Rattus norvegicus: one gene and its partner. The protein of the gene in region 2 interacts with the protein of the main gene of each other region in a pairwise test. Links are inferred from orthologs where the notes say so. Each region holds a gene or a part of one and is shown on either strand. Other genes may lie near its edges.

Evidence for each region.
Region 1: the proteins of Mapk9 (region 2) and Arrb2 interact in binary tests that used the Homo sapiens proteins (3 or more experiments, as listed by UniProt). The two-hybrid records come from large-scale screens. The link is inferred for Rattus norvegicus from reciprocal best matches to the Homo sapiens genes MAPK9 and ARRB2.

What each region holds. Positions count from the first base shown.
Region 1 is NC_086028.1:55,644,143-55,648,411, reverse strand, and holds the start of Arrb2 (beta-arrestin-2), read right to left. Parts: upstream 2,811-4,269; 5' UTR 2,733-2,810; coding exon 2,710-2,732; intron 6-2,709; exon of another isoform or gene 1-5. UniProt on the Homo sapiens protein: Functions in regulating agonist-mediated G-protein coupled receptor (GPCR) signaling by mediating both receptor desensitization and resensitization processes.
Region 2 is NC_086028.1:34,669,604-34,673,620, reverse strand, and holds the start of Mapk9 (mitogen-activated protein kinase 9), read right to left. Parts: upstream 2,849-4,017; 5' UTR 2,638-2,848; intron 1-2,637. UniProt on the Homo sapiens protein: Serine/threonine-protein kinase involved in various processes such as cell proliferation, differentiation, migration, transformation and programmed cell death.

The DNA.
Region 1 (4,269 bases), about 21 Mb from region 2:
CCCCACTGCCTCCCTTAGGCTGGGCAGGGACCACCACGCCGGGATTTATCCCTCCCCCCAGAGAAATGGAATTCACCCTGGATCCCTGCTCGACCCTTCCCACTGCTTTTTTTTACTGCTTCCCACCGGTATTTGAAGCCTCTTGAAGCCAACTGTCAGGCCTTTCCTCTTTGCTGTTGATGTTACTAACTCACTCCTCCGCTTATAGTAAATGGCCACTGTTTGCCCCAGCCAACTATTCAGGCTCTCCTGAGGGACCCTCTCCGAAACCAAGAGTCAACTGATGGCTACACAATGTCTGGGTCACACCTAACACTCCTCCCTCCCTTTTGACCTTGGCCTTAGTATGTAACTCTGGCTAGCCTGGAACTTGACTTGTAGACCAGGCTGGCCCCAACTCAGATCCATTTACCTCTGTCTCTTTGGTGCTAGGATGAAGGGGCACGAACTACCACACTCAGATGAACTCTTTAACTGACCTCTAGCTTCAAGGACTCACACAGTGACTCCTGGAGCAGAGTCTTTGCCCCTCAGATGTTTCTGTCCCCAAGTCTGACTATTTCATGAACCTCCAACAGCCCCGTTTCTGACCTCAGCAGCTTAAAAAAAAACAAAAACAAAAAAACCCACTGTGGTCCCCACACAGTAGCATCCTGTGACAAACATGGTGATTCTGGCTAACATTGACTGGTGACTGCTGTGTTCTAGCACTGTACCAACTGCGTTTACAGCTCTTATCGCCCAGTGACAGAGGCTAAAAGACCCCGGCTTTACGGCAAACAAGAATTTTGTCAAAGGTCACAGAGAAGGTACAGGGTGGGACTCGGATATAAACCTGAGGAAGGCACCCTGGTTTCAAGACCCTGTTCTCAACCACTAAGTCGTGAAGCTCGCCTGTCACAGTTTGTCAAGTCTAAGGGGATTTTTCTGTACAGACACTAGAACAACCTAAGTCTAGACTCCACCCACGGCTAGGAGGATAGGAAACTGTCTAGTGACCCCAGAGCTCTGGCCATTCCTTGGCTTGTTCTTCCAAGAACAACTCTACCCCTTCTAAGGCCTTTTGGCTCCGGAGCAATTCCTGAAAGGGCCCCCAGATAACAGGCTGAAAACTGCCCAGAGTTCCATCCTCCCTTCAACACACTATGTGAGTTTCTGCTTGGAAAAACCACTTGTCTCCTCCTTCCCCAAAGCCAAGCTGCCCATACATCACTGGGCCACACACACTTAGGGTCACATGGCATATACATAGGCTGCCCTAAGTATCCCCAAGTAATAAAGGCACATTTGGACATGGTGGCGGTTAGAATAATCACTCTAATTTCTGTCCCAATTAGGGCTGACAGCTTGGACATCACCTAGGTTGGCTCTTTCTCCTACTTCTGGTTTCCTCCTGTCTTGTATTTTCCCCCACTGGGAGCCCTGGCAGAACCTGTGACGACCACACAATCATTGTATCTCCGTCAGTTGCCCTGCTCTTACCCAGCCATGGTTAGGGAGGGCGCAGCGTGCACAGTGTGCTTGGCCAAGAAGGCAGAGCAAGGGAATTACCAGGGAGGTACCCAGCTTGGAGGGGTGCAGCTAAAGCAGATGCCTCTTTGTACTTCCTGCCATTCTCGCCATTTCCTCTGGCCCAGAATTTGATGAGATGGTAGGGAATTATGCCAAGTCAGCAGTCTTTCTTTGGTCCATCTATTCCCTCCCTGAAGTACTCAACGGAAATTTGGGGGCCTCCCCCCCAAGTAAGTGACTTCTCCTTTCTCTGGGGTTTAGTTTAACCTCAAATCTAGGAGGTCAATCTTCCCTGTAAGCATCTCTCTCAGATATTGGTCTTCTTAATACTTAAGGGCAGTGGGAGTGGTGGGGTTGGTCTCATGTTTTGCAGAAGTCACTGTTCATAATCAGGCCCTTATCCTTGGTCCTCTCTGGCTTGAGGCACATGGCCCCAACCTATTATTTAGTTCTTGCTCCTTTGGAACTCAAGTATTCACCCCATGTCCTCCTGGGGGTGTTGGGTCACAACAGGAAGTGGATTTTGCTATAGACCAAAAAAGAGAACTCTGGTATCAGTGGAAGGAAGGAGCCTCGATTGCACAGAAAACATCCGGGGAGAGGATGTGTGTCCAGGGCAGATACTACCTCTCTCTCTCCCCAGGACAGGAATAAAGCCCAATTTCAGCGAGGGTCCCTATGCACTCTACTCTCTCAAGAAGCTGTTGCTCCTAGCAACCTAGGAGAAGGCAGAAGTTTGGTAGCAGAGCTATCCGACCCTTGGGACAGGTGGGAGCAATCAGACTGTGGGGTATTGGGCAGGAGGCTTTCCATTGGTTGGGCACGAGTCTAGGGGAATCCCTTCCCAGCATCCAGTCTCCCAGCACACAACCCCTCGGGGCCGGCCACCTGCTCCTCCTTCCTCCGCCCCTGCATCACAGCCTGCAGAGAACCCAGTAGTCCGACTCCTACATCTCTGTGAGAACCCAGGCGTGGGTTTCCCGATCTCTATCAAGTCTTGCTTTTTGCAGGAGCCCCAGCACGCACCCCCACTCCAATATCCTCAAGGACCTAGGCTTGCGGCCCCGGACAGCTACCCTCTAGGGACCCAGGCGTCCGGCCCCGGGGTTTCTTCCCCGGTGTCCTTGTCTGTGGATCAACCTGGCACACTCCGCGAGCAGCCGCCCATGCCCCGCGGCACGGCCCCACCTCCCTTACCTGGTCCCGGGTTTTTCACCCATGGTGCGCGCGCGCTCGCCGCCCTCCACCCGCCGGGTTCGCGGCTCGCTCGCAGCCTTCTCACCCGCTGCCAGGTCCCCACTCCTCCCCGAGTCACTGCGCACGCGCGTCCTCACTCTTTCTCCTCCTTCCCCTCCCCTCGCGGTCTGGGTCTAGGGGAGCTGGGGCCAGCTGCGTCAGCCGGAGCCCGCGCGCCGCGGCGCAGCCCGCCCTCTTCGAGCTGGCTCCGCCCCACGCCTCCGCCCTCAGTCTCCCTCGGGGAAGCCTCCTCGCGCCGTCCCTACTCTCGATCTCCCCGCCCCTCCTCAAGCCTTTGGAACTAGATTGGGCCCCTTAAAATGGAGGCGGCCGCCTTCGAGAAGTTTAGAAGCAGCTGATTGGCCGTTGGTATCCATAGCCCTGCAGGGATCCCTCCCCTTTGTTTGCTTTCACTGTAGCGGAGGAGGGACGGGATCGAGGGGGCGGTGGGAATGAGCTCAAACACTGTCTGGGTCTGAGCACCAAGGGGCTGCCCACGTGGGTGAGCCGTATCTGTTGCGTGATGATGCTTGCTTTGGTATGCGCTGCTCATCCCTGAGCTTGCAGCCTTGTTTGGCCTACCTTTCCCGCGTTCTCGTGGTCTTCAGCTCCCCCTGGTGTATTGTCTTTGATTTTTTTTTTTTTTTTTTGCAGTGTCACTTTAAAACATTCAGACTTTGTCATCTCCCTTACCGTCTATCCTAGCCATCATTCACCTACTCCACTTATCTCTTCCATTCTTCATCCTTCCCTCCCTGCCTATTTTGTGTAAGTCACTGTGCAGAGCCATCGGGACAACATCATGGCCTAAGTTTCCTGGGATCCGTGAGACATATAAAACAGGTATTATGCTCCCAGGAACGCTATAATAGATATGACTCAGACCATCAAGCAACTAAAAGCCTAAAAGCGCTTGGCCAGCGTGGAGGAGGGAGTGCAGTCACTCCATAGCATAGGAAATTTGAGGACAGCCCTTCTGAAGGATGGACAGAAGTGGGGAAAGGACATCCTAAAGATGAGTAAGGAAAAGCACGCCCTGTTCTAAAATGTCTGTGGGTTAGATGGCAGGAGGTAGAGCTGCGGAGGAATAGAAGAGACGGTGGAAGACTGTGTATAGCAGGTGAAAGAAAGAGCCCGAGGAACTGTAGTCTTTATTTAATTTAATTTAATTTAATTTTCTGCTAGGGCCTCACATATGCTTAGCTCACCACTAATTCCAGCCCAGTGCTGATTTGATTGGGTTTTGCTTTCACCAGAGGAATGTCGAGATAGGACTTCTCTTTTTGGGTAACGTGTCGCATAGCGAGACCGCTCGCTAGAAGATAAGCTAGCCGAGGGAAAATGATGAACAGAGAGTGGAGGGGAGCAGAGGGGCCATATTAGAGGTTCATTGCTGGGGCAGCATTGACTGGGTTTGGCGGAAGACGACAAGGGTGATTGACATTTCTAGACTTACAGAGACAGGCTTTTCTCCTCTTTGGTCTCTTCCTTCCGCTCCTCCCTATTTCCCCTCAGTGGAAT
Region 2 (4,017 bases):
ATGCTATGAAAGAATGGCTGCTTTTAAAATTTTAAGAGAACCTTGTTTGTTTGTTTGTTTGTTTTAGCGAAATAGACTAAAAAGTTCATGGACAGAATGACGGGATGTCAAGGATCTGCTTCAACACAACGTGAGGAGAGTTTACATGCTCTGAGATCAGGGATGAAAAGAGACTGCCATAGTTAAAACGTGTAGACGCTGGTAAAGCCATCCACTTTATAACAAATCTGAAAGTCCCCATCACAAACAACTAAACGCTGCTGTTGAAATCCAACTCACACGGTGGCCAAGTACAAACCATTAAGAATTATTGTTTTTAAAATAAAATTGCCGCCTTCCTAGCCAGGTGTAAAAGATAACTTCATATTTAGTCAAAAATAGCAGCCCTACTGACCAATTAATACTTTTCTTTTAAAATCAGATTTTGTTTTATCCTATATATAATAAGCTTTTAAAAATTGGTTCACTCATTAATAACTAATCCGTTTGGCATTTCTCTTAGTACAGAAGGTTAAGCCTTTTTTCTTTTGAAACTGACACATTCAAGTACACTCCTGGCCATTTATTTAAAGGATAGAGCGAAGCATCTGTTAACGAGTAATTATAAAGTCCTGAGACCCTGCAAATTGAAACCTCAGGAAAGCAAAAGGTCTCTAGAGATTATGCCCCCAAAACAACAATTATTTTTAACTATGCAGGACTCTCCTGAAAGGAGAGGAGAAACGTTTATAGATTGGCTAATGGAAGGCAAACACAAAGAGAGCTGAGAACCTTAGATGGAGGGGCAATCTGGTTTCAGGTTCTCACTGGCTGCCTGCGCTGAAGCAGACTACTGAAGCACTGTGGGCCTCCATTTCTTCCTCTGTGGAACCTGGTTGGTATCTGGGTGAACAGGGCCTAGCTCCTCTGGCCTCAGGCTACTGTTCCTGCTCCTCGAAGCTTCTCCCTCCCACACTGCCTGCTCAGGAGGTTAGCGGTGCTGCATGAGGTCCGCATTTGGCGGGGCACCAAATGGCTCGTTTTAATTAGCTATTGCCAACGCTAAAATATCAGAGTCCGGATACAAACTTGGAATCCTGGCTCTTAAAAAAAGGCTGAACGAAGTTCTGGACCTCCAGGGGTCTCCAGCACTCCACAATGCCACGCTTGCCTCGGAGGGCTAATTCTTGGCCACAGGCTGAGCAAAGTTCCCTGTTGATCTTGCCCTTTCACTTTCTGTGTCCGTCCCTGCTCAAGGCCCTCCAGCACCCCCACCCCACACCCTCCATTTCTAGGGCACAGACCCTTCACTACAGCTGGTGTCACATCCTGTCCTAGAACTGTGTGCTTGCCAGTCTGTGTCTACGGGGCTCCTGGACTCTCTGGGGGAAGGTACCCTGTTGCTATCTCCTTTGTGTCCTTAGAGTCCAGCAGAAAGCATGACCTAGATAATACAGAATTCAGTAGATAACTCCTGAACGTGTGGAAGGAAGCTCGAGCAAAACTCTTAGCAAAAATGTAATTTTTTTTAATCACAAATTGTTCTGACAGGTGCTAGAAAGAGATTAAAAACATTAAAACATTTCACAAAATGAGAATAAGAGTCTGTTTGCTTACAAGTTTCACAAGTTAAAAGTCACCAACAAAATGGACAAAGCAGAGATAATAGGCAGGGATGGTCTTACTGCTCATTCACTGATCTGACTCTAGAGACGAGAGTCAATATACCAGACAACTACCTGTATTCACAGTGCTATACAAAAACTGGGCTATAAATCAGATAGCATCAAACCAGAGTCAGTGCTGGAAGGAAAACTAAACTGATGAACGGGAATGACTAAGCGAGGGAAAAGGGTGGTCAAGGCAGGCCTCGCCAATAACAAGACACTGAACCACAGGAGGAAGTGATACGAGAAGAGACAGCAGGGCGAAAATCTTATAGACAACTCCGAACATGGAAAAGTCAAAGTGCAAAGGTCCTGAGGTAAATAAATGATTTTTGGCATGTCCAAAGCAGGTGAGGTGAATAGGCTAGGAGAGCAGAGATCTGCTTCTTGTTAGGAGGGAAGGGAGTGGCAGAGGAGGTGGGCAGGGCCCACTCTGGCTCTTTGCTGGGCACTGAAGATGAATGACAAGGCACTGGGGCGGGGGTTGGGGGGAGAAGTGGGGGAGGACTCTAAGCGGATGAGAGTTCCTACGACACTCGTGCCAGTAAGGGAGCATTTACCCACTCGGACGCCCTCAACTGTGCGCCTTAGGCTTCTCTGCCCTAGTGCTTTGAGACAGTTACACTGCCCGATAACAACCCCCAACCAAACCCTAGACATTTTACCACTACTGCGGAGGGGAAAGCAGAGGGCCAGTGAGGGTCAGAGTCACCGCCAAGGTCGCGGGGATCAGAGCCCAGACTCCAGGGCATGCAGCGGAGTACAGCAGCATGCCTCACAGCTGGAGAGAAGGCGCCCACAGACTCCTGCGGGCAGGTCTGCTGGGCCCGGGCCAGACAGCCGGCCTGCAGCCCTGGGCAGCAGACACCAGGCGAGAGAGAACGACTGCGGAACCGTGGAAAGCCAGGCAGTGCCGAGCAGCCCACCCCCCGCACCCCAGGCCTTCGCGGCCCGAGCAGCCCCGCCAGGCCTAGCCGCCCGCCGGGCTCACCTCGGCTCCGCGCCGCCGCGCCGGAGGCAGAGGGAGGGCACGCTGGCGGCGATGCGTTCTGGCGGCTCCCAGCTCCAGGACCCGGACCCGGCCGCCCCGCCCCGCTCTGCTCCGCCCCGTCGCCGCCGCAGTGGGTGTGAGGGGCGCGGGGCGCAGCGACCCTTCCGGTCGGGTTCCCTTCAGCTCCGCAGCTGCCGCCGCCGCCGCCGCCGCCGCCGCGCTCAGTCTGACGGATTCTCAGGCCAGCCAATCAGAACAAGGATATCTAGGCAGGCGGGGCCAATCGAGACTGGGGGTGGGCCAAGGCTGGGCAGTAAGGGCGTGGCTGAGGGTTGGTGTGGGCGAGGCCAGTGGCGCGCTCTGGATACCCTAGTGCAAAGTGGCGCCCCCTAGGCGGCTCCCCGCCTGGCCGTCTGCTTGCTATAAGCGCGTCTGCCAATGTGCGCAGAGGACTAGGGATCCAAGTCAATCTAGGACCAGCTCCTGAGCCCGCCTTCCAGGGCCAGGGGACCCGCATGCGCCGGAGAGGGTGGGCCAAGAGGAGCGAGAGCTGGGGAGGGGCGAAGCGTGACTTTGCTACAGTGTAGGAGCCTAGTCAGGCTCTGTTGCAGCAGGTGCAAGTGGAGAGGCGGCCCTGCGATTTCTCCAAATGCTGGAAACTCGACTGCATAATCGTTCGTGCTCTCCCCTGGGAAAAAAAGGGGGTAAAAGGACTGGAAACAACCGGGTTAGACAGGAGACCTGGGCAAGATTGGGAACCTGGAGTATAACGGCCCGGGAGGAGGAGGGAGGACAAGCCACAGAGCCTTGGGGTTTGTTGTTCACTAAGGCGGATGCGCTGCGTAAGCCACACTGAGTGGGCTCATAACAAGGATGCAGCCAGATGTCCAGAGGGTGGGGGCTGGAGAAACGGTGACCATGACGCTGGTGAGTCAGTGAGGGGATTGGCGGGGTGTGACCTAAAGAGGACTGTTGTAAGGAACAAGTTTCTGCTTTGGTGTAGAGGGATGAGGAGGGCGTCATTCCAATGCTGAAGGGCTTCTATACAGCGGTCTTTGACACTGCTGCTTTTGTTGACGCTCCTACAGCCCTCTGTCTCTCAAATAGGTTCCAGAAGGTCTGAGGTGAATAAGACGTTTGGAAAGCACAGAATTTAGGGTTCTGACTACTCTGAGCTTTGATCGAAAGACTGCAAGTGAGACAAGAGAGGTTGAACGCACTGAGGAAAAGCTCTAAACAGGTTAGGCTGAGGACTGGCCTATAAGGGATTGGAAAAATGCTGACAGTAGTTGACAAGTGGTACAGCTGTAGTAGGATGCCAAGGAATAGCCAGGGAATCGGGCTCTGCATATAGGAAGATCAGGAGAATAGAAGGCCCCA